4 linked regions of the Diceros bicornis minor genome follow. The protein of the gene in region 1 binds, or shares a complex with, the protein of each later gene. Links are inferred from orthologs where the notes say so. Each region holds a gene or a part of one and is shown in the gene's direction. Other genes may lie near its edges. The genes, in order: TAF6, TAF3, TAF11 and TAF10.

The links.
Region 2: TAF6 (region 1) and TAF3 share a complex: the UniProt entries of both Homo sapiens proteins name them as parts of the TFIID basal transcription factor complex. The link is inferred for Diceros bicornis minor from reciprocal best matches to the Homo sapiens genes TAF6 and TAF3.
Region 3: TAF6 (region 1) and TAF11 share a complex: the UniProt entries of both Homo sapiens proteins name them as parts of the TFIID basal transcription factor complex. The link is inferred for Diceros bicornis minor from reciprocal best matches to the Homo sapiens genes TAF6 and TAF11.
Region 4: TAF6 (region 1) and TAF10 share a complex: the UniProt entries of both Homo sapiens proteins name them as parts of the TFIID basal transcription factor complex. The link is inferred for Diceros bicornis minor from reciprocal best matches to the Homo sapiens genes TAF6 and TAF10.

Annotation. Positions count from the first base shown.
Region 1 is NC_080765.1:5,656,608-5,663,613, forward strand, and holds the start of TAF6 (transcription initiation factor TFIID subunit 6), read left to right. Parts: upstream 1-3,985; 5' UTR 3,986-7,006. Other genes in the region: CNPY4 (protein canopy homolog 4), read right to left, coding at 1-61, 154-271, 789-911, 1,142-1,238, 1,337-1,463, 3,414-3,528. UniProt on the Homo sapiens protein: The TFIID basal transcription factor complex plays a major role in the initiation of RNA polymerase II (Pol II)-dependent transcription.
Region 2 is NC_080775.1:8,867,030-8,874,622, forward strand, and holds the start of TAF3 (transcription initiation factor TFIID subunit 3), read left to right. Parts: upstream 1-4,581; 5' UTR 4,582-4,743; coding exon 4,744-4,909; intron 4,910-7,593. UniProt on the Homo sapiens protein: The TFIID basal transcription factor complex plays a major role in the initiation of RNA polymerase II (Pol II)-dependent transcription.
Region 3 is NC_080753.1:29,813,417-29,820,335, forward strand, and holds the start of TAF11 (transcription initiation factor TFIID subunit 11), read left to right. Parts: upstream 1-3,912; 5' UTR 3,913-4,047; intron 4,048-4,565; exon of another isoform or gene 4,566-4,917; 5' UTR 4,918-5,094; coding exon 5,095-5,265; intron 5,266-6,919. Other genes in the region: ANKS1A (ankyrin repeat and SAM domain-containing protein 1A), read right to left, coding at 3,424-3,614. UniProt on the Homo sapiens protein: The TFIID basal transcription factor complex plays a major role in the initiation of RNA polymerase II (Pol II)-dependent transcription.
Region 4 is NC_080746.1:64,662,001-64,668,152, reverse strand, and holds TAF10 (transcription initiation factor TFIID subunit 10), read left to right. Parts: upstream 1-4,234; 5' UTR 4,235-4,249; coding exon 4,250-4,481; intron 4,482-4,621; coding exon 4,622-4,776; intron 4,777-5,012; coding exon 5,013-5,077; intron 5,078-5,165; coding exon 5,166-5,280; intron 5,281-5,460; coding exon 5,461-5,550; 3' UTR 5,551-5,631; downstream 5,632-6,152. Other genes in the region: TPP1 (tripeptidyl-peptidase 1), read left to right, coding at 1-96, 340-404, 861-981, 1,063-1,221, 1,378-1,503, 1,683-1,823; ILK (integrin-linked protein kinase), read right to left, coding at 5,858-6,007. UniProt on the Homo sapiens protein: The TFIID basal transcription factor complex plays a major role in the initiation of RNA polymerase II (Pol II)-dependent transcription.

The DNA of each region.
Region 1 (7,006 bases):
TCTGTCTTCTCTTGCCCATCTGTGATCTTCTCCTTTCCAGTCCAAGTTTCCTGGAGACATGCTAAGTTGGATGATAGAAAACAATTTAGATATTGGGCCTGGGGGTAGTGGAGGGTGTAGTCTGGCAGGAAAGGAACCAGCTCACACACTTACCAGTTTCAGTAGCTGGGAGCACATGACCTTCACAGAGAAAATGCTGTAGGGGCTGCTCCTGATGATGGAAGTACCAGTCTCCCACAACATCTTCAAACTCCTCCAGCATCGTCTCACACTGGTCAAATGGAAGGGTCAGAAGGGTATCTGCTCTGCTGGGTTTTGGAAACCCTCCTCTCTGCACTTCACTCCCTGTCTCCCAACCCCACCTTGGAGAGGCAGGTAGCCAGGAGGTTAAACTTGGCTTACTAGATGTGTGATCCTCATTCATTCAACAAACATTCACCAGCACCTACTCTGCCAAGTAGGTTATTAAACTCTGAGTCTCAGCTCCTTGCCTGTAAAATGAAAAATGGTAATAGTACCTCCCACGTCAGGTTGTTGTGAGAGTAAAATGAGGCAGCAGCTGCAAAGTATGTGGCCCCGAATCTGGCACATAGTATCTGCTCAGTAAGTGACAGTGCATATTATTAGCCTCCATTATTACTTCTTGATATGCTCCTGGGCCCACTTCAACCGATGGCAGAGTCTTCACTCTGCCGCCTCTCCCTGCTTAGAAGTGGACCTCCCTAGGATCTAGCTCCCCTCCCAGGTTCCCTTCTCTCCTCCCTGGGCAGTGCTAGTATCCCTCCTACCTGCTTCTTAAGGAATGTGACCTCCACGCTGGGCTCGTCCCACAGCTCCAGAGGGATCCCCAGATCCACCTTCACCCCTTTCTGCACCAGGCCTTTCAGCGTTGCCATGGTCTGACTCTGCCCCTGAGAGATGGGAATTTGGGATGAGCCCCGCCCACTGCCCCGCCTCTTCCTTCCCCATTCCACCATATCAGTTTTGTTGACTAGCGGAGACTCAGGGGGGAGTTCCATGAAGGTAAGATGAGGGAGTCTACAATGGGGAGAGGATACTCCAGAGCTGGGGGAAGATGGGCGCGAGGGGATACAAGTGTTGTTTTTGAGAAGTGAGATCCTGCCTTGGGGAAGAGTCTGACCTTGGCATATCTCAGTGAGCCCTTGCGCTCAGCATGAACACTGTAGTCCAGAATCCGCTCACATAAGTTCTCCAAGGCCTCTTCTAGCCTTGTCTCTCTGTGGAAAGAGGGGAAACAAAGATGTCCCCGGATGCTGTGGGAGCTCCCAGGGCTCCTTCAGGGGTTGGAAGGTGGAGGAACACAAGAAGGACTCACGAAATGCTGTAGGGGATGTGTCTCTTCCTCTTGCCTGTGTCCAGCACCTGCCCCAGCTCCAGCATCTCTCGAGATCGGCCAGTGCGACCCAGCTCTTCCTGTAGCTCCAGGCTCAGCAACTTACACACTAGATGTCCAAGAGGATGTGAAAGACAAACAAACATACCAGCGACTCATTCTGCAGCTGAGCAAAGGCAGCAGAGAATGATGGTTCTAAGTGCAGACTGGAGCCAGCCTGACTGAGTTGGAATCCTGACTCAGCCACTTAGTAGCTGACAATCCTGCCGTGCCTTGGTTTCTTCACCTCTAAAATGGAGATAATAATAGTACCTCCCTCATAGGGGTGTGGTGAGAATTAAATAAGTCAATCTGTGTGAAGCTCCTAGCATAGTGCCTGGCACATAGTGAGCAGTATATAAGTGTCTTCTGTTGTTCTGCAGTCATTTATTGACCTCCTTCTGGATGCACAATAACAATACAGAGAGCAGTAAGACCCATGATCCTTATCCAAGGGACACTGCCATGTAGTTGGGGACAGAGAAAAACATGATGACAATATGGTGTGATAGACCCTACACTAGGGGTTAAAACCAAGAGACTTAGTCTCACTAGGAAATGCAAAATTCATTCAATGGTCATTTATTGACTTCCTACTAGCCTGTGATTTCCTTAAGGGTGAGCATTGCATCTGTTCCACCACTGTCTTTCCAGCACCTAGCACGTGTCCTGGCACAGTGACTCCCAAGAAAAGAGAGTGGCCCATACAGAAGGGCCAAGCAAACTAAACACAGGGGCAAGTAACAAAAGTGCCTAAAATGTGCCAGGCACTAAGCACTAGGCTAGGACCTGGGAGACCCAGGGATTCTCCTTCCCTCCAAGGTCTTATAACATAGTGGGAGGTGATAGAAAAGGAAGAAGGCTTCCAAAGGAGGTGACATTTAAACTGAGTCATGAAGCACCAAATACAGAACGGAGAGGGTCATTCCAGGCAAAGGGAAAAACAACCTGTAAAGGCACAGAGGTGCGAGAGGATAGGGCAGGCTTGGTGACCGTGAGAAGTTCACTGTGGCTGAGGCCTGGACTCTTTGGGGATGGGGGTGGGGTATGGAAATGTAAGAAAGGTGGGGGCCATACAACAAAGAGATGTATGCTATGCCAAAAACGTTGGCTATATTCTGACCACAGCAGGAGGCCTGCAGAGGGGTTAAAGCAAGGACTGACTGGGTCTGTGTTTAGAAAAACTGGCAGCGGTCGGGGGGAGAAGAGTGGGGACACAAGTGAAAGGAGAGGAGAGATTAGGACCAAGTCATGAGGAACACTGATAGTGAAACGCACTGTGGAGCGAGGTGAAGGGAAAAAGAATCCAAGGAAGAAATTAAAGTCAGGAAGGCAACAAACTAGGGAGCCAGGGCATTGAATGGCCCAACTCTGAAGTGTCCCCTCCCAGCTGGGCAACCCACGTGAGGCAGCCACAGAAGATGCTGCTCGCTGTAAAAGCCATATAGTACACACCCTCTGCAAAGCCTCACACGTATGGGGAACCTCTCCCAGTAGTGTGGCCTCCTCTTTCATTTATGAGCATCAAGGGCTGATTTACTCACCCCCAAATCCCCTCAGGAGGACGTGGGGCCTGTAATTTGGGAGCGTCTCTGCCGGGGTGGAGCAGAGGCTATCCACAAGGTACGAGCCTTACACGCTGTTCCTGCAGGCTCTCCAGATTTAGGTCTAGTGGTATGGGGGAAACACAAACACACAGAGGCACTCAAGATGCTCAGTAGAGTGGGCAGTCCTGGGCAGATAGTCCCTTAATTACAATTCCCACAAACCATTGGGGCCCAAGCCAACAAGGAAAAACGGGCTCCCCCTGGATGTCTCATGGCAATTGTAGTGCCATAGTTTGGGGGTAGCGCTATGGGTTCCTTCCCTTGACCCCATTCGAATTCCGCCAACCTCCACCAGAACCTCCCTCAGGCCTTTAAGGAGGTCGAGTGACCCAGCCATCACGGTCCATTTGGCTCGGCCTAGACGAAGGAGGTGGGGCAGAGGGATGCGAACAGAGGCTACTCCCTTTTGATACCTTCGCATTTGCTGGGCAAGCGTTCTGTGTCATCGTCCTCCTCTTTCGGCGTCCCAGCCCAAGCAACGTACACAGCCAAAATGAAAAGCAATATTCCCAGCCGCACAGGTCCCATGACAAAGTGCTGTGCACAACCAACCACCCCTTGTCGTCTAACCAACTTCGGGAAGGCAGCGGGCCCTTTAAATCGCGAGTCGGTCGGCGGCAACTTAAATCCAGCCTGGCAGGGGAGGCGCACGCGCAGTGCTGGCCCGAAAGGGGGTGGGGCCTCACTACGCTCCGGGCTTCCCCGCCTCGATGTGGTGGCGGCTCCGGAAGGTCCTGGCCGCTGGGTGGTGAAGGAATAAACTGAAGTAATTGCAGCAGGAGAGTGTGCTCCTTACATGTAGACACAGAAACAGTGTTTTTTATATCATTTCATACCGTGAGCCTAGGGGACTTATTCCGGCTCGGGGAAGGGGCAGTGTCTTGCTCTCCGTCTCTGCAAGGACCTGCTCCCGGGAGGGGGCGGGGCCAACATGGCGCCGAGCGCCGGGTGAGCGGCGCTTTGGCGGCGGTGAGAGACTTTTCCTGCCCTGGACGCTCGGCTGGCGGGGGCGGGTCTGAGTGGTACCCGGGGCTAGACCCTTTGAAGGGCCCGTGTGGGGACCCGGAGGAGGACGGTTGGTTGTGTGTCCGTGCGCGTGGGGACTCCGTGTGTGTTTGCATTGGAGGGATGTCGGGGGGGATGAGCCGGGCTCTGCGCTTCCTTTCGCGCTGTGCCCATTGCCTGGGGACCAACGACCCGCATCTCTGCTGGGGAGACTCTACACAGATCTAGCTCAAGTTACCCCTCCTCTGAGAAGCCTTGCTGCCCACTCCACTGACCTGAGGGGCTCCTGAGGTCGTAGCGTGTTTTATGAGCGTTTACTGGCGGAGGGTAACGCGAGGTATTGAAGGATTAGTAGGAGTTCGCCAGGGAACTGCGACACGACCGCTTCTTGTATACCTGGCTCCAGGCACAGAGTATGTGTTGAATAAATGTGTTCCCTGCAGATAAGACTTATAAACCTGGGGGAGGAGACCTGGGATGGTTTGAGAAAACCAGATTCTCTTTCGCTTCCATCTTCCCAGCCCTCCAGCACGCCCCAGCCGTCCCCCACCTACACCCGCAGTCAGTCCTAAACACTCTGACAGTAGTCTTCTTAATGCCAGCTTCAGGCAAACCACTTTCCTTTTGGCCGCAAAGTAGATTCCAAGCTTGGCCTTTATCTTGTTCATTTTGATAATAGTGGTACGAAGTATTTATTGAGTACCTCCATCTCTAAGCCTTACAATTCATTCGTTTACTCAACAAATATTTATTGAGTATCTACAGTGTCTCAGGCACCAGTCTGGGGTCTTGGAATACATTGGTGAATATAACAGAGATCTCTGTCCACACGGTGCGGGAAGGGGAGGTGTGGTGGTGATAAACAATAAGAAATGATACGATATATATTAGCAGATCTTAAATGCTATGGGGAATAAAAGGGCAGAGTGAGGATGAGGTGTGGTATTAAATAGGATGGTGGGAATGGGCAGCCAAGCTGACATGGGGGAAGAGCATTCCAGGCAGAAGGAACAGCAAAAGTCATAAAGCAAGAGCATGCTTGTCAGGTTTGGACAGCGAGGAGGACAGTGGGGCTGGATCAAGGTGGGATAAGAAAGGAAAGGGGGTCAGAGATGTAACGGAGAGAGGGCAAATCACGAAGGAGCTTGTAGACCGTAATAAGGATTTTGGATTTTACTGTATGACAAATGAGGAGCCATTACAGGGTTTTGAGCAGAGAAATGACCTAATCTGATTGATATTTTGACAGAATCACTCTGGCTGCTGTGTTGGGAAGAGATGTAGGGGGCGGTGGTGGAGCAGGAAGACCTTGTCAGAAGTTACCCAGATGATAGATGGTGGTGACCTGGCCTCGCAGTGAGAGTGAGACATTCAGGTTGGATTACCTGTGGGTTTGATTTGAGGACTCACATAAAGAATGAGCACCTGGATGGATGGTGTCGCTCTGAGGATGAAGAAAGCTGAGGCTGGAGCAGGTGGGGAGATCAGGAGTTCAGTTTCAGAAGAGATTTTATGTAGACAGTTTGACATACGAGTCTAGAGTTAAGAAGGCTCCGGGCTGGGGATATAAATTTGGCCATCATCAGCCTATGAGCTATACTGAAAGCTGTGAGAGTGGTTGAGGTCACCAAGAGAATAAGTGTAGCTGCAGAAGAAGACCGAGGACTGAGCCCAGGACACTCCAACATTAAGCAGATGAGAAGATAAACCAGTAAAGGAAACCGAGAGACCAGTGAGGTAGGGGGAAAACAAAGAGAAGGTGGTGTGGCAATGCAGTAAAGAAAGTGTTTTCAGAAGGCAGTAGTCAACTAGGCTATACGCTGCTGGGACGTCAAGTGAGATGGGGAAGGAGAGTGGAACTTGGATTTGGCAATGTAGAGTCATCGGTGACCTTGAGCCGTTTCAGGGACCAAGTGGGGTCAAAAGCCTGATTGGAGTAGGTTCAAGAGAGAAGGAGAAGACAGGAGTTAGAAACAGAGTTAAGACAACTCTTTCCAGGGCCGGCCCTGTGGCTTAGCGGTTAACTGCGCGCGCTCTGCTACTGGCGGCCGGCGTTTGGATCCTGGGTGCGCACCAACGCACCGCTTCTCTGGCCATGCTGAGGCCGCGTCCCACATACGGCAACTAGAAGGATGTGCAACTATGACATACAACTATCTACTGGGGCTTTCGGGGGGGGGGGGGGGGAGTCGGAGGATTGGCAATAGATGTTAGCTCAGAGCCAGTCTTCCTCAGCAAAAAAAGAAGGATTAGCATGGATGTTAGCTCAGGGCTGATCTTCCTCACACACACACAAAAAAAGACAACTCTTTCCAGGAGTTTTGTTGCAAGGGGGATCCGAAAAACAGAGTATAGCTTGTAGAGAAAGTGGAATGAAGAAAAGATTTTTTAAAAAATTTTTAATTGTGGTGAAATACACATAACATAAAACTTACCATCTTAACTATTTTGAAGTGTGCAGTTCAGTAGTGTTTAAGAATATTCATATTGTGTAACCATTACCACCATCCATCTCCAGAACTCTTTATGGTGCGAAACTGAAACTCTGTACCTGTCAAACAAGAACACCCTTTTCTCCCCTCCTTCTAGCCCCTGGCAACTACCCTTCTACTTTCTGACTCTATGAATTTGCCTACTCTAAGAACATCATATAAGTGGAATCATACAATATTTGTCTTTTTTGTGACTGGCTTATTTTACTCAGCATAATGTCTTCAAGGTTCATCCATGTTGTAGCACGGGTCAGAATCTCGCTCCTTTTTAAGGCTGAATAATATCCCATTGTATGGATAGACCACTGTTTTGTTGTTTTAGATGGGAAAAATCACTGCACTTTGTAGGCTGATGGGGATGATCTGGTAGGTTGAGAAATCGATGCTGCAGGGAGATGGGAGAAATGCTGGAGCAGTGCTTGAGCTCATGAGGGGCGTGAGCAGTTTCTCCACAGTAGCAGGTGTGAAGGCAGAGTATGTGGGCCCCAGTGCTGCGCACTGGGTAGAGG
Region 2 (7,593 bases), on another chromosome or scaffold:
GGACAATGGGAAAATCTGAATATGCACTTTTTATTGGATAATATTATCGTATCAATCTTGAGTTTGCTGCATGTGATAATGGTATTACGGTTTGGCGGAAGCTGTGATGCACCTCCCAGATCCCGCTTCAGCAGGACTGAAGGACATATTCACCCAGCTGCTGCGAATGCTGTCAGCACACAGCCCTCAGCTGTCAATCTTCTTTGGAACTGCCTCCACTGGAGACCGCCTTGCCCAAGATCATGGCCCCCTCCTGGGATGCCCACATCCAGCACCTGATCAGTGTGGGAGTATAAAGGCCAGGCCCCCGTACCTGAACTCACGACAAGGAAGGGCCTTCCCAGCTTTACAGCTCTCTAGGGGTCGCCAAGGTCCTCCTTGAGGGTGGGCCGGCAGCCCAACACCTCCCTCCCCCAGCGCTACTTCCTTTCCAGCCCTTCCCTTCCCCAGGTGGTGATCCCAAGGGCATGCCTCTGCAGGCTAATCTCCACCTCAGAGACTGCTTCCTGCAGAGCCCAACTGGCACAGTTTGTACCAGAAGGGCTTGAGGAAGCAGACACTAAGATAATGGAAGGGATCTGGGAGCTGGATCAGCCATCTGGTTGGCCATGTGGTAGGCAGAGCACAAAAAGTCCCGGGCACAAGGTAGTAAGTAGTTCCTGAATGTGCAGGTTGTAAAACTTTTACCACTAGTGAACTGGGGTAGTACAACAGGGGAAACAAGCTGGTATGATGTATCAGTGATACCGGCTCAAGACAAAGTTGACATAAGGGAAGCCATATTGTTGAAAAGAAAAATTCTGTTGTAATTTTGAATGACGTCTGACAAACTAACCCAGCTGCATATGCTCCCTCCAGATCTACCTGCTCTGTAGATTTTACGACCCCTGCTTGTGCATGTACCTCCCAGCTGTGATAAGATGATAACTGCTTTTTTGAGTTCCTTAGGAATGTGATGACCCCCGAACAGAGAGTCTGTGCTGATAGCCATCATCAGTGAAAACTGAAAGATCTGGTGTGGCGACTCCCAGTCTGTAAGACCAGAAGGTCAACATTCCTAACCCCCTCCCCTATAACCCACCGGCCTAGATAACTACTGTAAGATTTGTGCCCCCTTAAGATGGTTCTTTTAGATATTACTCGGCCATCTTCCCTCTTGCTAGCAAGCTGTAATAAAAAAGTCCTTTCTTTCCTACCACCTTGCCTCTTGACTATTAGCATGTCTTGTGGCGAGCAGAAGGCCCCACGTTGGGCGGTTAACATCAGTGTTCAGGTAGGCAAGAAATATGAGGATGACAGGACCCTAAAATGATAGAGGCCAGGTAGGAGTGTTCTAACTGCAGATGAGTCAGAAGCCAGGTGAATGCAATCATGATAAGTAAGAAGCGGCTAGTACACAAAAGGTCATGGTAAGATACATGTGTTCTGGAGGGTGGGAGATAAACTCTACAAAGATTCAGGGGCCCACCATATCAGTAAGATTTCTAGGGTCCAGCGGTCTGGGGCATGCCGGCACATCTCTTGCAAAGGGTAACTTGTTGCATCTTGTACCATCCACCACGAAGAAGGAAGCACAATGCCTGGTAGGCATCTTTGGGTTCTGGAAGCAGAATATTCCACATGTGGGAATTCTGCTCTTAACCATACACTGATGGCTTGAAAAGCTGCCAATTTTGAGTTGGGGCCCAGAGTAGGAAAGTGTTCTGGAGCAGGTTCCGGAGCAGTGCAAGTTTCTCCCCTACTTGGGCCATATAGCCTGGTAGACCTTATGTTATTAGAGGTAGCCATGACGGGAAAATACTCCACGTGGAGGTGATGGCAACTCTAACGGGAAGTAGCAACGCAGACCCTTAGGTTCTAGAGTAAGTCCATGACATATGTAGTGGAGAATTACATCTTTTGAAAACCAGCTCCTGCTATGCTAGTGGGCCCCGCTAGAGATGGAGTGTCTGACCATGGGCACTACCCAACTATGAACTGCCCATCACGAGCTGGGTTCTGTCAGACCTATGTCAAAAAGTCAAGCCTAGTGGCAATCCATCCTAAGACAAAAGTGGTACTTCAGGACCCGTCATGAGCAGGGCTGGGAGGGCACAAGCAAGCGCGTGAGAAGGTAGGCCAGACCCCAAGGTCCATCATTAACGATGCACCATCACTCTCCCTCACTTTAGACCAGTGGCTGCATGGGGGTTCCTTATGACCAGCAGAGCAGGCAGGACGAAAAGCTTAGCTCAGTTCATGGACGAACTGGCTCGGCATGTAGATGCAAGCCACAAACTGTGGCTGTGACTGTTGCCATAGCCTTACTCCATGTGGCCCTGCAAGACAGCAGTGAGGGGAAACCCTCCCACCTGGCAGAGCATCGGGCAGTGTCGAACCCACTTGCCTGCCACAGAGACCAACGCTGACTCCCTATGTGCTGAACTGTGTCCCCCAAATTCATAGGTGAAGCCCAAACCCCCAGTACCACAGAATGTGACTGTATTTGGAGAGAGGGCCTTTAAAGAGGTAATTAAATTAAAATGAGCCTGTTAGGGTGGGCCCTAATCCAATCTGACTGGTGTCTTTATCAGAAGAGATTAGGACACAAAGAGAGAGTGCACAGAGAAGACCATGTGAAGAGAGAACAAGAGGGCAGCCCCCTGCAAGCCAAGGAGAGAGGCCTCAGAGGAATCAGTCCTGCCTGCACCTTGATCCGGGACTTACAGCCTCAGAACTGTGAGAAAATAAATGTTGTTTAAGCCTCCCAGTCTGTGTTATTTTATTATGACAACCTGAGCTGACTAATACACTTTCCAAGGAGACCAACTAGCCACTTGTTGGCAGGTTGACCACAGTGGCCCCTTTCTTCCTAGAAAGAGCAGCCATTCACTTTGATAGGAATAGACCCATATTCTGGGTATAGATTTGCCTTTCCTGCTCACAGTGTTGGATGTACTGGTGTCCCATATCACGCTGTGTCAGACCAAAGGATCCATTTTACAATGAAGGAGGTTGGGAGTGGGTATACAACCGCGACATCTACTGGTCCTATCACATACCACACCACTCCAAAGCTGTTAGCCCAGGAGAGCAATGGAAAGGCCTTTGAAGGCACAGGTAAAGTACCAGCTCACAGGCAGTACTTGTGAGGATGGGGCGTAGCCCCCCAGGATGCTGCATACACTTGAAGTCAACGACTTGTCTGTGGTGCTGGGTTCCTGATAGGTAAACAACTTGGGGTGGAAGCTGGAGTCTCCCCACTTACCATCACTCCCAGTGACCCATCTGGGAAACTGTTCTTTTTTTTTTTTTTAAAGATTTTATTTATTTATTTATTTATTTTCCCCCAAAGCCCCAGTAGATAGTTGTATGTCATAGCTGCACATCCTTCTAGTTGGTGTATGTGGGACACGGCCTCCGCATGGCCAGAGAAGTGGTGCGTCGGTGTGCGCCCGGGATCAGAACCCAGGCCACCAGCAGCGGAGCACACGCACTTAACCGCTAAGCCACGGGGCCGGCCCTGGGAAACTGTTCTTGTCTCTGCAACTCTGGGTTCTCCAGGTTGATAGTCCCGATTTCCAGAAGGGAGAATGCTTTCATCAGGGGACACAGCAGGAGTCCCACTAAAATATTAGCTACAGTTGCCACCTGGGCACTTCAGGCATAAAAGGGCCTATTTAAGAAACCAACTAGATCAGCTATTACAGCCTGGCTATCCACAGGCTGATGCTAGCCTAACTGTGGCATTAGTGTGGCACGCAAATTAAAACTTCAAAATGTATTCCCAGTATTTAAAAATCAAAGTATTTATCAAAATTCCGATTTCTAACAAATTGGATAGATCTGACAACAATGAGCGGGAGCTGGGAGAAAGCTCTGGAGCCGGCAACAGTGCCCCATACACTCAGCCTGCTTCATTGATTTACCTGTTTGGCCTTCGTAGGCAACTGAGTTCTCGCTTCCTTTTGTTTTTGTAAATAAAGTTTTATTGGAATCAGGGCTAGGATTAGAATGACGTGCGGCAGGATTTTCTTTGGCAGTAGTTTGGCTTTGAAAAAAAACATTGTATTAAAATATTATTGATCTTGATTAAGTTTTTTGGTGCCCCCAGAAATTTTACACAGAGGCCACTGCCTCGGACTTGATTTAATCTACACTATGGTAAGCAGCTTAATTTTTTTGTTCGTGTTGAGCAGAGACAAGACCAGGTCAGATCCATGTTTTGGGGAACACTTCAGTTCCCACGCCCCAAATCCCGCCCGTCAGGTTCCCACTTCTAACACCCCATTTCAACATCATGTTCTGGCTCCCTCTTTTGCCCCTAAACCACTGACAGTCCGCTCTTCCTTCCTCGCCACACGCGCGCCCCCCCGGGAGCGCCCCACGCACCTGCCTCCGGGGCGCATCCTCCACCTGCGCTCGGCACAGCCGCTTCCCGCATCCGTCCAGGCCCGAGAGCCGATGCCGACACCATCGCTCCGCTCCAGCGGGGCGGAGCTTCCTCATCGGCGCGCTCAGCACTTGGCTAGTGCTGCCTCGCCCCGGCGACCGTCCAGCGGGAGGCGGAGCGAGTCCAAAATGGCGGCTCTCAGGCTGGCGCGCTCCGTGCTGCTGAGGCTTTGAGGTGGTCGCCAGGGGTCGGGGGGGGACGATTTCCCCGCCGCGGGGGCCCCAGAGGATGAATCGGGGGCTCTGCTAAGGTTAGGCCGTGGGGGTGGAGAGCAGTGGCAGCAGGGGCTGCGGTGGAGTCCACGGAGCGGGATGTGCGAGAGTTACTCCAGGTCGTTGTTGAGGGTCTCGGTGGCGCAGATCTGCCAGGCGCTGGGCTGGGACTCGGTGCAACTCAGCGCCTGCCACCTCCTCACGGACGTGCTGCAGCGCTACCTGCAGCAGTTGGGACGGGGCTGCCATCGGTACTCTGAGCTCTGTGAGTACCGGGCTGGGTGCGGGAGGGCTGCCTCTGCCAGTCACGAGTGACACCTCGGGGCTCCCCTGCGCTCGCTCGGCGTCCCCGAGGTGCTGGTCCTTCACCCCCACCCCGAGATCGGGTGTCGTCTCGGCCGCTGACGCCCCTCCGCTTCCACTGCCCCTGGAAACTCTAGTCGTCCGCGGGGTGCCTCTTCCTCATCCGCTAACTTCCCGCCGCCAGCCGGGAGCCCTGCCTGCGCTCCCGGCTCCTCGCGCTCCCACCCTTCTCTGATCAGAGATGCGCCTCGGTCCTTCTCCTCGCCTCGTTTTTGCTGCGTGTAGAACCACCTCCAGAATGCCTCACAGCCTCTTCTACTTCGGTCCTTTTCCTCCCTTGCCCGCAAACTACTACAACTAGTTGTCACAGGCGCTCCGTCTACCGGCCGTTTCTTACCAGGCTGGCCATTCTTCAGCTCATAACCACACATCCTCGTTGACAGCTCTGCTCCGTTAGGGACCCTGCCTCTCCTCTGTGTATCTGTTCTCGTAGGCGGCACCTCCGTTGACTCTTTCTCAAGGCCAACTTTCTCAGTTTCAGTAAAACTTTCATTTACATCTCAGTCGCCCATTGCTTTCCTCCTTTCTGTTTTCGTGTCAGTGGTCATCGAAGTGTGGTCGAGGGGTCGAGGGCAGTTTACAAGGTTCTCCAGGTAATCTGGGCTGCAAGTACTTATGGTTTTTAAGTTTATGTCTGGTAGTGTCTATAGCTGATGGCATTTAATAATTTGGAATATTTAATAGAAGCCACACATCATCTCATTGATGTGAAGTGTGGGTGTGGAGGGGAACTACCCCTCATTTAAGTTTCAGGTCATTATTTTTAAGGCGATAAGCTGAAGAACTGGGTGAAGTGTTTCATAGGATATTTTGTTTTGTTAGAAGTAGTTCCTAGACTGGAAAATTGAGACCCATGGATACACTTTACTTCTTAAGCCCCAAATTCCGTTCCAGCTTCCATAGTGCTGCCCAAATAATCTGTCCATAACACAGATCAGATCGTGTTATTCTTAAAAATATTTCAATTGGTTACAGGCTGAAAATCTAAACTCTTAAGCAGTGCTCGGTTTCCTTTGTGAACTAGCATTTTGCTTATCTTCTGCCATCATGCCATCCTATTCTGCAACCATGCTGAGCTACCTGCCTCTTCTGGAACATTTTAAGCTATCCAGGCCTATATGCATGCTGTGTCCTACAGTGTCTTTGCCCCCTGGTCCACCAGTAGTACTACTTATATTTTGAGATTGGCTTATCGCTTGCTTTAGGAAACTCATGTTATCTACTCTCGTAATTCTCTGCATATTTCTGTTATGTTTTTCAACACCTTATTTTGTAATCATCTGTGTATGTCCCTCTCCTTCCTCCTCCCCAGGAGACAAATTTATTTGTATTCTGTAACCTAGTATGATGCCATAATATAATAGGCACCTTGGAAATATTTGAATAAATGAATGAACTGATAACCCACTACCATAATAGCTATTTAACCACTTCACTTTTTGAGTTTTGAAAATGTGTAGTTTTTGAATGCTTGGTTTCACTGATACTTCTAATCTAAATTTGGAACTCCCAAGTAACTCTCATTCATTGTTATTTTGAAAGTACCCCACCAGCACATTACTCTCCTGGCTTTTGCTTCTTTTCCCTCTCGGCCCCCTTCATGGTCCTTGAGTATACTGTTACGGTTATGCCTAGTCCAGATTGTATTTTTGCTACCAAGTTCCTTAAATAAGACAGATGTCCTGTACATTTAGGTAATCAAAATATCCCCTGAATACATAGTTACCTTTCCTGCCTTATACACAGAACAAGAATATGTGCTGGTGCTCCAAGTCGTCAGGTATTCCATAGTCATCGCGTGATCATTGTTATGCGTTAATGTGAATCTTTTTCCTAATTACCCAATTTTCTGTAGTCGATTTTCTTGCTTTTAGTGAGAATGCAATTATCAGATACATTATTCCCCATTGTGGTTTGGTGACTTTTTTAAAATGCTAATTCCTGTTATACTTATTAGTTACAGGCTTTTTTAGGTTCTTTTTGCTATACTATCCTACTTTTAAACTCGAATTCTGTAACCTCAGGTTACTGCTGTGCAATCTTATATTCTATTCCTTTAAATCCTTTTTGTCTTTTTGACAAACATTTGTTGAACACCACTTATGAACTAAGCTCTGTGCTAGATGTTGGAGACATGAAATTACTTAGGCACAATCCCTGCCCATAAGGCGTGTACAAGGGTGTCAAAATGTCCACAAAAACAAACTGATGGAATTTGTTCCTTTTAAAAAAAAAAGTGTTCTCAAGTTAAAGCAAGTATTGGAAGTTACTATTAATTCAATAAATAATGTATTTTTAAATTCCCCTAAGGTAATGATTTGTCATAGCTTTCAGGGGCACATTTTCTGCGTATATCGTATTATGTATTAAATATGTGTATGTGCACCGAAAGCAGATGCTAAATCTTTCAGAATGACTCTTCAAGACTGGTACTCTAATGTAATAATTGCATGGTCTAGGCAGTAAATGCAAAAGGAATAGAGTAAAGGAGAGATGGGTGTGGGCTGTGGGTTCTGGGGCAGGATTACTTCCCAGGAAAGATGAGATTTAAGTTGAGCTGTGAAGTATGATTGTTTAAAGGTGGAG
Region 3 (6,919 bases), on another chromosome or scaffold:
TATCGGGAGAGGGACTAATTTTGATAGAGCACCTACTATATGCCAGGTCTGAGATAAACTCTGCAGTGTGTCTAGCAATCGGCCTGGTACAAAGCAGAAGACGGGTAAACATGTGGCAAGTGAATGGCAATAATGTGGGTGCCTGAGCAGGTCCTCTCCCTTATTTATTGTTTGTAATCTGCCATGGCTTGGAAAACAAATACCCAAGCATAGAAGAACACCATTTAAAATCTGTCTGGCATGGTGCTTTGCACATAGCAAGGGCAGCATGGCACAACTGCACGTGCTGAAGCAAACTCAGGATGGCTAATAGTGAACACTTACAACGTGCCAGAAACTGTGGTTAAGTTTCTTACACACATTACCTAAGACAATACCTATAAGGCAAATAATATTATCCCCATTTTACAGATGCAGAAATGGAAGCTCAAAGTGGTTGAGTAATTTGTATAAAGTTAAGCAGCTAGTGAGTGGTGGCAGTGGAATGTGAACCCAGGCAGTCTGATTCCAGAACAAGTGGTCTTAAGCCTAATATTATATTGCCCCTGAATAAATGTACAGTAAATAAGTGAAGGTCAGAAAGACAGGAAGTGTGTAACAACTTTTTTTTTTTAGTAGAAGTCTTCTTTGCTGACTTTCTGATTCTCAGGTATATTCTCAATTGGTGAGGGTTACTTTATGTAAACATTATACTGACAGGCCAAAGCAACAAACTGTGAAAGCTAGGCAGGCAAAGTATGTAAGTCGAAGAGCTAGTGTACACTACAGATGGGTTCCAAAGAAGTAGAAGCCTGAGAGATCTGTGTGTATGTGGGTCATTAGGGAGGGCTTTAAGAAGTTAAGACCTAAGCCCAAGCAGTATAAGAAAAAAGGGATGGGCTGAGAGAGGGGGCGTTTTGTAGCTTAAGCCTGAAGCCTTTGTGGAATTGGGGGGGTGGTCATAAATAGATGACCAGACAAATACACACGTGGTTTGGAACATTTACATCCACTGCAGCTGTAAGCTCCTACTCCTGTCAGCTATACTTGGTCCCTCAAACAGCTGGACAAACGTAGGCTCTAGTTGGCAGTACTAGTGGGGTTAGGATATGGCAGCTAATGCAAAGGCCAGATCTGCAGCTAGGATTCCACAGCTCTCATTAAATAACGCAGGGTCCTTGAGGTGGGGAGTGTGGGCACAAGGGACCTACCCTCTACTATTTCCAAACCTAAAAAGGGAGGACATGCTGACCTAGGGATTATTTAAATGCATGGTCTCATTTGCTCAGAAATCTTTCACAAGGTTGAACCAGAGTCACCTCTAATTAATGACACACCTAGTGTAACTAGTGCCTGCAGATCCTCCCTGCCCCTAGGAGTCCCAGGGATAAGAGACTGGGGCAGCTCTTAGGCCATCTACTGTCTCGACAACAGACACGAGCAAATCAGGAGGAATCAGCTCTCTTATGCAAGGGAATAGAGACACTATCTACGCTTTATGAAAGACTGGAATATTCACATGAGGCCCAAAGTAAAAACAGTGTGCTCAACAAAGATTTCCTAGTCTTGCCTAACCACACGGCAGTTAAATCCTCAGTAAAATTTCAACAGTCTCTGAGTGAGAACACTAAGAGTAACTTGACCTGTACTTGAAGGCGGGAGATACGTGAAGTATCTCACTCCAGCAGGACATGTTGGGGGTTAACATATCTCTGGTGAACCTCCAAATGCTACATCATTCAACTGATTAGAGACAGGCACCTCCAAACTCGTAGAGTCTCTCTCATCTCTCAGACATCAGAAGTGCAGAAATATCAAAGTAATCCAGGTAAGATTCAAAACCCAATTCATGCATTCACAGTACATTTATTGAAGACCTCTGAGTTGTCAGGCACTGATCTAGGGACTGGGAATATAAACAAGAGCAAGACTAAGTCACTCTGAAAGATGGAAGTGCACCCATCCATTATTATTTCCCTTGATCACACCCAACCACTCAAGGCTCCAGGCAGGAAGTTCTTCTAGCGCCCCACTAACACCAAATAAGTCTTCTTTCCCACTTCTGTGCCTCTGACCATGGTGCGCCCACCTGGAACACTCTCACCATACTTCACCTACCCAAATCTTCACATCTTTCAAAGCCAGCTGTATTTTCCCTCCTCCTGGAAGCCCTGATCTCCATCTCATTCCAAAGCGATGTCTCATTTCTCTGAACTACTAACAATGACAGTGAGTACCACTATCAGTTTATTTAGAAATTTATCATCCTCTCATTGATACTTTTATTCAACAAATGCTGAGTACCAACTATGTGACAGCATTGTTCTAGGGGCTGGAGAAATCCCAGCAAACAGTACTGGGTTTTGCCTCCCCAAAAGACCTCCTGGGGAGAGTTCTTCTCTTATACTGCTTTTTAAAATCTTCCTCTATAGACCTGAGTTTGTATTCAGTGCTTAATCTAACAATTTATTAGACCCTTGGGCTTCTTTGGTCCAAGCTCACTTAAATTGAAGTTACATAAACTAATGGGGAACAAAAGCAAACGAAGTCATTTCTACATGAACTTCCACTTCTTAAAAACCTCAAAAGAACAAGGAAGGAAAAGAAAACAGGCTATGAAAGTGCTGCTGAACCAACATATTTTACTCACACTGACAAAGCACCTCCAATCCCCCCTCAGAGTCACACAAAAGTGACCTTTTTTCTCTCAATCCTTACAGCTCCAGATTCAAGCGTTTATTTTAACAACAGACCCTGGAAAAGTTTAAAGCATCCCTCAGTTTCCTAAACAAGTCTTTCTGAAGCTTTATTTCTTGATGAATAACCCCCCTGATGAATCCTGCCTATGTCACTTAACAGACCAATCCAGCGAGGTCCACTACGAGGAACTAGAATTTGAGCTTCAAGCAAAAGAGGGGCTCAAAGAACACTTTGAACGTAATAAATCCAGATACAATTTTAATATAAACACAAGCCAGGTCCTGCAGAGCCTGATGGAAGGTTCCAAGTCCCCAAAAGAAAGAAATCAAGAGAATTTCCTCCAAGAGAGCCGCGAGATTCTGCAAGGCGTGGGAGTTTCTGCAGGAGGTGAGGGAAATTTAAAATACATAAGTATTTTTTGCTCTAAAGTGGCTTGTGAGCTACGACAGCTGGCACCCTATAAAGGGCGAGGGTGAAGCCGGGCTGTGCCATGCGGTGCAGGCTGCCACCTGGGCACTCCCACCATTCTTCGCAGCCGGGTCAGGACGCGAGACGAGGAGAGCCAGGCGCCGCGCGGACCCGCACCAGCGCCCCCGGCTGTGCGGGCCTCCTGCCCTCGCCCCGGGGCACCCCGCAAACCCAGCCCGCCCAGGTCTCAGGAGCCCCGACCTCTCTGGGGACCCAGGAGACGGGCAGAGGAGGTGGGGTCTCCAGGCAGCTGCCCGGCACCGGCACGTTACCCACCTGAGCAGACTGGAGAGGGGATGGCTCGAGGAGCCGAGGCCACCGCCGCCGCCGCTGCCACCCCCGGAGCCGCCCCCGCCGCCGCCGCCGCCCCCGAAGCCTGAGGAGAGCCGCTTCCCGGACAGCAGCTTCTCCACGGCCGGGAGGTGCCCGGTGCGGGCCGCCTCCAGCAGCTCCTGCTCCTTCCCCATCCCCAGGGCCGCCGCCCCCTGGACCTCCTTCCTGGGGCCGCCGCCGAGCCTGCTCGGGCTCCCAAACTTTCCGTCTCCGGGCAACGCACCCCCCAAAGCGGCCAGGGACACCACCCCCCTCCCCCCCGCCTTTTCCCCCACGCGCGCGTCACTTCCGGGATCCGGCGTCACGCGTCACCGCGCCCCCGCGCCCCGCCCCCTTGCCCACCTAGATGGGCGGGGCTCGGCGGGGCGCGGCGGGCGGGCGCAGGTGGCTGTGGTCTGCGCGAAGTGGACCCTGCGGTGAGGAGATAGGCCTCCAGGGGCAAGGGGACTGCGCCGTGTGGGCACCCACTGTACGGGTGGAAGAGGACAAACGGGGCCCACCTGTATGCGCCTCCCGAAGGGCATTCCTTCCCCGAAGGTTTTGGGATCCCACAGGACAGGAAATACGGTAATTCACCCAGGCAGTGTAGAAACAAAGAGAGAAATATGGTAACGCGCACCTACATTTCCAAGTCCATTCTTTCAGCACGCATGAATTAAATATGTAATGGGTGTGGGGACCCAGTGATAACAGAAGTGAGTAAAATACTCCCCTCCGTACCTCAATGAGGGAAGAGAGGAAAAATTTTAAATAGAAATATCCCCACTTCTTCATGCTCCCAATCCCTGACATGGCTCGTTAAAGTGACAAGTTCAAAGGAAAGACCTCCCTCCCAGTAGCATTTGTTTCCTCTTAGTTTTGCTGAGATTAAGCAAACTGACATAAAAAGTCAGATTTGTGAAACTGATCCTGATCTTGAGTACTGGTGAATTGGAAAAATCATTTAATTGAGTAGAAACTATATCTGTTTTGTTTCTGGTAGTAGCACTGTTCCTGGCTCGAAGTAGGCGCTCAGTAGTTGAGGAGTGTATAAATGGATTGGATAAATTCTGTTCAAGATATATGAGTTTTTGGTTTTTTTTAAGGTGCTTGAGGAACAGAAGAGGAATGCTGGCAATTCAGTGTAAACACAGGCCCGCAGTCTCTGTCCAATTGAAACGTATGAGGTTGAGTCCTCGACTGAAAGTTGACCAGGCAGCCGCATCCCACGACAAGGGCGTACAACGGAATTGAGTTTTTCTCGCGTCCCCGAACTTGACTCTGAGGAAAGCGGATTAAGGAAGCAGTTAACTGACATTTTTAGAAAGGCAGAAAGAAAAAAGACGTCCTTCAGTAAACAACAGAGCTCTCCTTTACAAATGCTGGTTTGGCAGGGTGGAAAATCCAAACTGACTTCGATACTCTCAATTTTCCCTCTCCGCACCGCCACCGAATCAGAGTCAAAACGGAGCCCTGAAGTCCTCTACGCGCGCCTCAGAATGACCCCTCCGAGGAGCAGTAGGGGTGATGTCATCGCAGCGCGACAACAGGAAGTAAGCTGGGTGGCTGTGCCGCGCGCGGTCTCGAGCTCCTGAGTCTGACAGCACCGCGATCTCCTCTCCCCTTCTCGCCGCGATGGATAATGCCTGCGAGTCGCTCACGGAAAAAGGTGGAGAGACAGGGGAGTCAGATGAGACTGCCGCTGCTCCCGGGGGGCCCGGGGCTACTGACATCGACGGAATCCCGGAGGAAACTGACGGGGACGGAGATGGGGACTTGAAAGAAGCCGCAGCTGAGGAAGGCGAGGTAAGGAGAGATGTGTTGATGAGGCCGGGGGAGTACTCCGAGATTATGGTACCGGCTGCTCGACCGGCTTCCTGGTTGGTCCCTCCCAAGCTAAGATAACGCGAACTCACCATGACTGCCTCTAGATCTGCAACCGCGGGGGCGCCTGGAGGGAGGAGACAAAACTGTAGTGCTGGTTTGGTTCCAAAAACCCAAGTACTGGGTAAATATTTTTAATCAAAGCAAAATTTTAAATCAATTTAAAATCAAGGGAAAGTTTTAATGCCTTTAGGTGTTACAGCTACTTCTAAGGGAATTTTAAATAGCTTCTTGGTTTTCCTGGTGAGGAAATTGGCATCTGATATCACACTGTGACTAAGTGCAGAGCTAGAACCCAGGATTCCTAGTACCCCTTTCCCCGCAATATGGTTTCTCTTAGATGTTGCTTAAGCCTAACTTCGTCATTGGCTGCAGATTCGTTAAAGGGAGACTTTGAAGGGGTTACTGATTTAGTCACGTTTTTACCCTCTGGGGACATTTAACTGCTACCAGTGACCTGGGTGCTAATGTCCAACGGTCTCTATAGCATAAAAACACCAAATTCATCAGTTGTGCTACCTCAAGAGCTCAGCAGTGTTGCCTAGCTGAGCATCAGTCAGGGGACCGGAATCTCAGCGTTCTCTGGGTTCCATTTCTAGAGATAGAACCTTGGGGTCTTAGACCTATAAGGGACTTAAAGAGATCATGGGGGAGGACATTTGATTAGATGGAAACAGCCATTCAGAGCATAAAGTTGCATCAAAATATATAAAGTAAGAACTTATAGAAAAAGAGAAAAATGTGATGAAACTATTTTAAGAAGGAACCTTTAAAATAGATCTCAAGGGCAGAAAGGATTTGAAGAATAATTAGCTTAGTCCAGTAGAGAGCTCACTACATACAGAAATTTGCACCCAACAGAAGATAAAATTCTTTTTTTGTTGTTGCTTCTGAAATGCTTTTAAAAATTGATCGTATACCAGACCAAAAAAATATATAAATTCTTAAAAGCAGAAATCATAACAGGCCACATCCTGTTTGTAAAGTGCAGTAAACCCAAAATTAATAACAAAAAGCTTCTCCCACCCCCCACTCCTTCCCAAAAACTAATACCCGGACATTTTAAACTGTTTTCTAAATAGCCTTTAGATTAAAGAAATTAACAAAGAGAACATTACATCAAATCCTATGGGATTGGACCAAAACTTTATTTAAAGAAAAATTCATATCCTTATATATTTTTATTAACAAACAGGAGATATTGAAAATAAGCACCCAACGCAAGAAACTAGAAAAAGAAAATAAATCAGAAGAATGTAGGAACAAGGAGTCAATAAGGATAAAAGTAGATATTAATGAATTAGCACTTAAAAAACATAAGAAATGATAAAAGAAAGACCTGATTATTTGAAATGTATATGCACAACATTATGAAATAAGAAAGGGCCAAAGGCACTGATACAGAAACTTTTAAAGTTATAAGAAGGCCGGCCCCATGGCTTAGCGGTTAAGTGCGCGCGCTCTGCTGCTGGCGGCCTGGGTTCAGACCCCAGGCGCGCGCCGTGGTGCCACTTCTCCTGCCATGCTGAGGTCGCGTCCCACATACAGCAACTAGAAGGCTGTGCAACTATGACAT
Region 4 (6,152 bases), on another chromosome or scaffold:
GAGGACTCCCTCAGCAGTGCCTACCTCCAGCGGGTCAACACCGAGTTCATGAAGGCTGCTGCTCGTGGTCTTACCCTGCTCTTTGCCTCAGGTGACCTCCTACTCAAATTTAGACCGCCTCCACTCACCCACCCAACCTGGCAGATTTGACCCACAGTGACATGTGAACCTCATCTCTGACTCATAATCTGAACTCAACAGAGACCACTGACTGACCTCTAAACTTTGACCTCTTGCAGTAATGACTAACACTTGAATTTCCTCTCCGACATCTGAACCCACACACCAAGCTCTGACCAATTAATCTGAGTGCTAAACTCGGTCTCTCTCCCAGGTGACAGTGGGGCTGGGTGTTGGTCTGTCTCTGGAAGACACCAGTTCCGTCCCACCTTCCCTGCCTCCAGGTAAGCACCCTAGCCGACCACTTACCTGTGACCACCAACCTTTCATCTGTGACCTCCTGATCTGGAACCTTTGCCTGACCGCACCAGGCCCTCCTGTGACTCAGCCCTCAGCTTTACCTGCTCTGGTTGCTGCACTCCCCTCTTCTTCCTGTAGGTCCCAGGCCCCAAGACTCCTGAGTAGGACACAGCTCCCAGTGTTCCTTTTCCTCAGTCCCCAGGCATTTTAGTGAAAGATTTGGTGGGTGTTCCATAGGGAAAAATGTGCACAGTCACCTCAGGCCATGCCTTGAGGGCTCAAAACCTCTTAGTCATCCCCCTGTACATGCTTCCCTACAGAGTCCAGCCCCTCTGCAAGTCCAGCCCCTATGCAAGATCCAGGGCATACTTCCCCATCCCTACTCATTTTGGAGGTCCCCTTGGGACCCCTACGATCTGAGCGCTGTCTTCTGCCCTCAGCCCCTATGTCACCACGGTGGGAGGCACATCCTTCCAGAATCCTTTCCGAGTCACAAATGAAGTTGTTGACTATATCAGTGGTGGTGGCTTTAGCAATGTGTTCCCACGGCCTTCATACCAGGTACGCATATGTTTGTGTGGGTGGATGGGTAGGGGGGATCCTCAGTTCAGCAGACAAGACTCACTCAGCAATGCCTTTCAGGAGGAAGCTGTATCCCAGTTCCTGAGCTCCAGCCCCCATTTGCCGCCATCCAGTTACTTCAACGCCAGTGGCCGTGCCTACCCAGATGTGGCTGCACTCTCTGATGGCTACTGGGTGGTCAGCAACAATGTGCCCATTCCATGGGTGTCTGGCACCTCGGTGAGAATCAGCCTGGCTCCAAAACCCCCACTCAGCAACTACTCTTGCACCCAGAACCCCTGACTCCTCAGAGACCTCTGGTCCTTTCAAACATCCCTCTCCCAAAGTCCAATCACTCTGAACCCCTAACCTCTACTTACACCCTCACCCTTGCAGGCCTCTACTCCAGTGTTTGGGGGTCTCCTAGCCCTGATAAATGAACACAGAATTCTCAGTGGCCACCCTTCTCTTGGCTTTCTCAACCCAAGGCTCTACCAGCAGCGTGGGACAGGACTCTTTGATGTAAGTGTGGAATGGAAGGGGGCGGACGTTTTCCTAAGAGTATGGGGAGTGCTAAAATGAACTTGAGGGCAGTTCTTACGGGGTGGGAGAGCCCCTGGGATGTGAATACAATGTGAGGGAGTGCAGTCTATTAGTACTGGGACCAGCAGACCCAAATCTGATGCCCACTTTCTCCCTAGGTAACCCGTGGCTGCCATGAGTCCTGTCTGAATGAAGAGGTGCAGGGTGAGGGTTTCTGCTCTGGCCCTGGCTGGGATCCTGTGACAGGCTGGGGAACACCCAACTTCCCAGCTCTACTGAAGACACTAATCAACCCTTGACCCTTTCCTACCAAGAGAATGGGCCTGTCCCCTGCCCCACGGCTGGCGGCTCGGTCCCTTATTCTGCAGTTGGAAGCCCTGCTGAACCCTCAACTGTTGACTGCTGCAGATAGTTTATCTCCCTAACCCTGAAATGCTGTGAGCTTGACTTGATTCCCAATGCTTCCCTGCTCCATGATACTCAGGTCTCCCTACTCCTGCCTCAGGTTCCTCTACAGATGCTATAACCAGTACTGTTTGGGATTCCCCCCCCCCCATTTCTTCTTTCTCTTTTCAACCAGACTTTTCCAAAGGGTTGTCTACGCAGTCTGTATACGTTATTCCACCACATATTCTCTCAATTCATTGCAACGAAACCTCTGCTTTCATTTTTTCACTTTTTCCTCCCGACACTGAGAAACAATGGCCTCCCTGCTGCTTCATCCAGTGCACACGTCCCAGTTTCCGCTTTAGGGGCTCTCTGTCATAGTTGCTCACTCTCTCTCCTTCTTTAGCTTCCAGGGCTTAACTTTTCCTCTGACCATTCTCTCTTCCTCCTTCATTCCCTCTTCCTCCTTCTCTTTCTCTTCTTCCTCATTGAATATTGGTGTACTTCATTGCTCCATCCTTAGTCTTTTGCTCTCGTCACTCTACCCATTGTCCCCTGGAAGAAATCAATCACTGGCATCCACAGCCATCACCATCTCCCAAATCAGACTTTCTATCCAACAGTAATTGATACCACAGATGCAAGATGTGTGAAACTCAATACTTGATCTCCCTCCTTCCCAATCCCAAACTGTTCTCTTTTGTTTATTCTTGGTAAATGATACTACGCTTCTTCCAACCAAGCCAGAAACCTAAGTGTCATCCTAGACTCCCATTTCCTTCACCTCCCCCCATCACCACCTTCAATCAAGTCCTATTGACTTCACCTCTTAAATACATCTTTATCAATCCACAAGTCCTGCCAGTTATGTCTCCTAAGTATATCTAGAACTCGTCTGCTTCTCTCCATCTCCACTGCTACTACATTAGCTTAGAGCCATCTTGTCTCTCCTCTGAACTGTAGGAGGCCCTTGCAAAAAGTGTCCTTACGTTCTGCCCTTCCCTAAACCATCTTCCAGAGTAAAATGCAAATCCCATCAGGTCATTTACTTGATTAAGACCCTTCAAAGATTACTGGATAAAGTTCAGTCTTTTTACCATGATTCACAAACTGGATCCCTTCCTTGCTGTTTGTTCCTGAGTAACAAGTTGTTTATCCTCCCCTGCTCTCCTCCCCACACTTTCACTCTTGCTCAAGACATTCTGTGCCCTTAACACTACTCTTAACTCCCCTTTGCTTGGTTGACTTCCAGGACTTTTTCAAGAATCAGCTCAGAAGTCACCTTCTCCTGTGAACCTTTTGGCTTCCTGAAATTAGTTGATTTTGGCATGTCAGAAAAATCCTAGATTTTTGAAACCAAACCAGTTTGATTCTTGGTTCTGATATAGACTAGAAGAGAACCTTGGGCAAGTAAGTTCATCTCCCTGAGGCTTTTTTCTCATGTTAAGTAGGGATATCGATACCTGCCTCTCATAACAAGCAAGGAATAATTAAATGGAATCAAGTTGATAGAGCACCTGACACACAGAAGTAAGCAGCAGATGTTAGTTCCCTTCCTCTGCTGCACCGCATTCTGTGTCTACCTCTAGGATTATAAATCTCACATAATATTGAAATTGCCAGATTACCTGTTTGCCTCCCTTTCCAAGACCATTGGTGCCTAGAGGACTAGAATCTTGTCCTACTTAACTTTGTATTCCCAGGCCCTAGCTCAGGATTGGCAAATAGGAATCAAATAAATGTTTGCTGCATTTAAAACCCCACTTTTTCACTCGCTGTGATTTTGCATATGTTGTTTACCCAGGCTGAAATACCTCTTTCCACCATCTACAGCAACACTGTGTGCGCTCTCCCGCTGCCCTCACTTCTCCCGGCAGCTGGCGGGGAGTGGGGGCTTTCCAACTCCATTACTAAGCCTTAAAAACACTGAATGAGGGAGCTATAAAGGATGCAGGCTGGCAGGCCTCCTGGTCGAGGGGGCTGGGCCCAGGAGCCCCAAAGCAAGGTCTTTAGGCGTAAGACTGAATGAGGGGGTCCCAGACCCACCGAAGAGAGTCCTCGACATTCAAGGGTTCCCATCCCAGCGGAACACTTGAATACGGCGCGGGTAGAGGGTGGAATGTCCGCGGCCAGCGCCATTCTCCTAGGCTGGTCCCCAACCTTCAGTCCATGTCATCCAGCGGGAGGATGGGCAACCGGGAGGCGGAAAACCTACGGCGGAGGGCGAACACGGCGTGGGCGCGGCGAGTCGCGAGGCGTGTGACGTCACCCATGGTGTGTGTGCGTAACGTGAGCGGAAGCGGAAGTGGCTCTGTTCGCCGCCTCTCCCACCGGCCCGATGAGCTGCAGCGGCTCTGGCGCGGACCCCGAGGCGGCGCCGGCCTCCGCCGCCTCGGCCCCGGGCCCGGCGCCCGCGGTCTCGGCCCCCGCCGCGCTGCCCGCCGGCACTGCTGTGGAGAACAAGGCCAGCCCCGCGGGGACAGCAGGGGGGCCTGGGGCTGGAGCCGCGGCAGCGGGCACGGGACCCGTGGCGGCGCGGGCCGGGGAGCCGGCCGAGCGGCGCGGGGCGGGTGAGGGCCGGGACGGGTGAGGGCGAGGGCAGCGCCTTGGGCTGGGCCCAGCGGCGGGTGAGAGCAGAGGGTCTAAGGCAGATCTAGCCGGGGCCCTGCGCCCCCCACCTCCGTGTCTCAGTTTGCTGGTTCTTCTCCAGCTCCGGTGTCGGCGGGCGGCGCGGCGCCCCCCGAGGGGGCCATGTCTAACGGGGTTTACGTGCTGCCGAGCGCGGCCAACGGAGAGGTGAAGCCGGTGGTGTCCAGCACGCCTCTGGTGGACTTCCTGATGCAGCTGGAGGATTACACGCCTACGGTGGGCTTCCAGCCTGAACAAGGCTGTTGACACGCTGTCACGCCAACTTTCCGCCACACCACCTGGATTTCCAGCGTCCTCTTGTATTTGCTTCCCTGCTAGCTCTTGTGATTTATCCCCTCTGCCCAGCCAAACTGTGAGCTTCCTGATAGCCAGGCCTGTCCTCCCCCATTTCCCTTACTCTCTCACTGCCGTGCACAGGGCTAACACTGACAGTCATCTAATTGATTTCTCAGATCCCAGATGCAGTGACTGGTTACTACCTGAACCGTGCTGGCTTTGAGGCCTCGGACCCACGCATGTGAGTAACCTGTGGGCAGGTTAGAGCCTTGGGTGCTTGTGTGGACTCTGTTGTCCATCTCCTCCTCATACCAGTTTTTTCTCTCTAGAATTCGGCTCATCTCCCTAGCTGCCCAGAAATTCATCTCAGATATTGCCAACGATGCCCTACAGCACTGCAAAATGAAGGGCACAGCCTCTGGCAGCTCCCGAAGCAAGAGCAAGGTGTGAGGGGAGGCTCATTGAATCAGTAATTACCTCCCCAGCAGCAGAGGCTTAATTTATGCTGAAACTCCTTTGGGGAAACTAAGCTCTAGGGGAGGTGAATGACCTACTCAGGGTCATCACCTGGGACTAAAATCTGGGATTCCTCTGCTCAGCTGGTGCTCTTCCGTCTTCCCTCAGGACCGCAAGTACACTCTAACCATGGAGGACTTGACCCCTGCCCTCAGCGAGTATGGCATCAATGTGAAGAAGCCGCACTACTTCACCTGAGCCACCCAACCTAAATGTATTTGTCTGTCCCCTTGACCCCACACCAGCCTGTTTCCATAATAAACTTTATTGTGACAGGCAGGGCTGATCCCTCCCATGCTGGGAGACACCGTGTGGCAAGTGACAAAGCTCTGAGCCCAGCCCCTTTTGGGGCCACAGTGGTAGGGACGGGGGCAGGGGATGGGCCCCATGGCTGGGGTAGTACCATGACTGGAGGCAGGGAAGGCAACCAGAGGCCTGCAGCTCTGGGGAGGTGCACTCCCCTGTGTCCTGACACCTCTGGAGTATAGGCAAGGACTTTCCAGCCCTACTTGTCCTGCATCTTCTCCAGGATAGGCACAATCATGTCAAACTTGGGTCGCTTAGCAGGGTCTTCATTCATGCAGATCTTCATGAGCTTACACACATGGGGGGAAATGCCTGGTGGGATGGTAGGCCGAAGGCCTTCCAGTGCCACCTGCAGATACAGGGAAAAACCAGGTAGGTCTCAGAACTTGAGTCATGTGGGGAAAGGCCTCTAGCCCTCAGGACAGGATTACTGTATATCCAAACATACACAGTATGAGAGCCCAGCCCCACCACAGTTATTGTCACTGCCACCA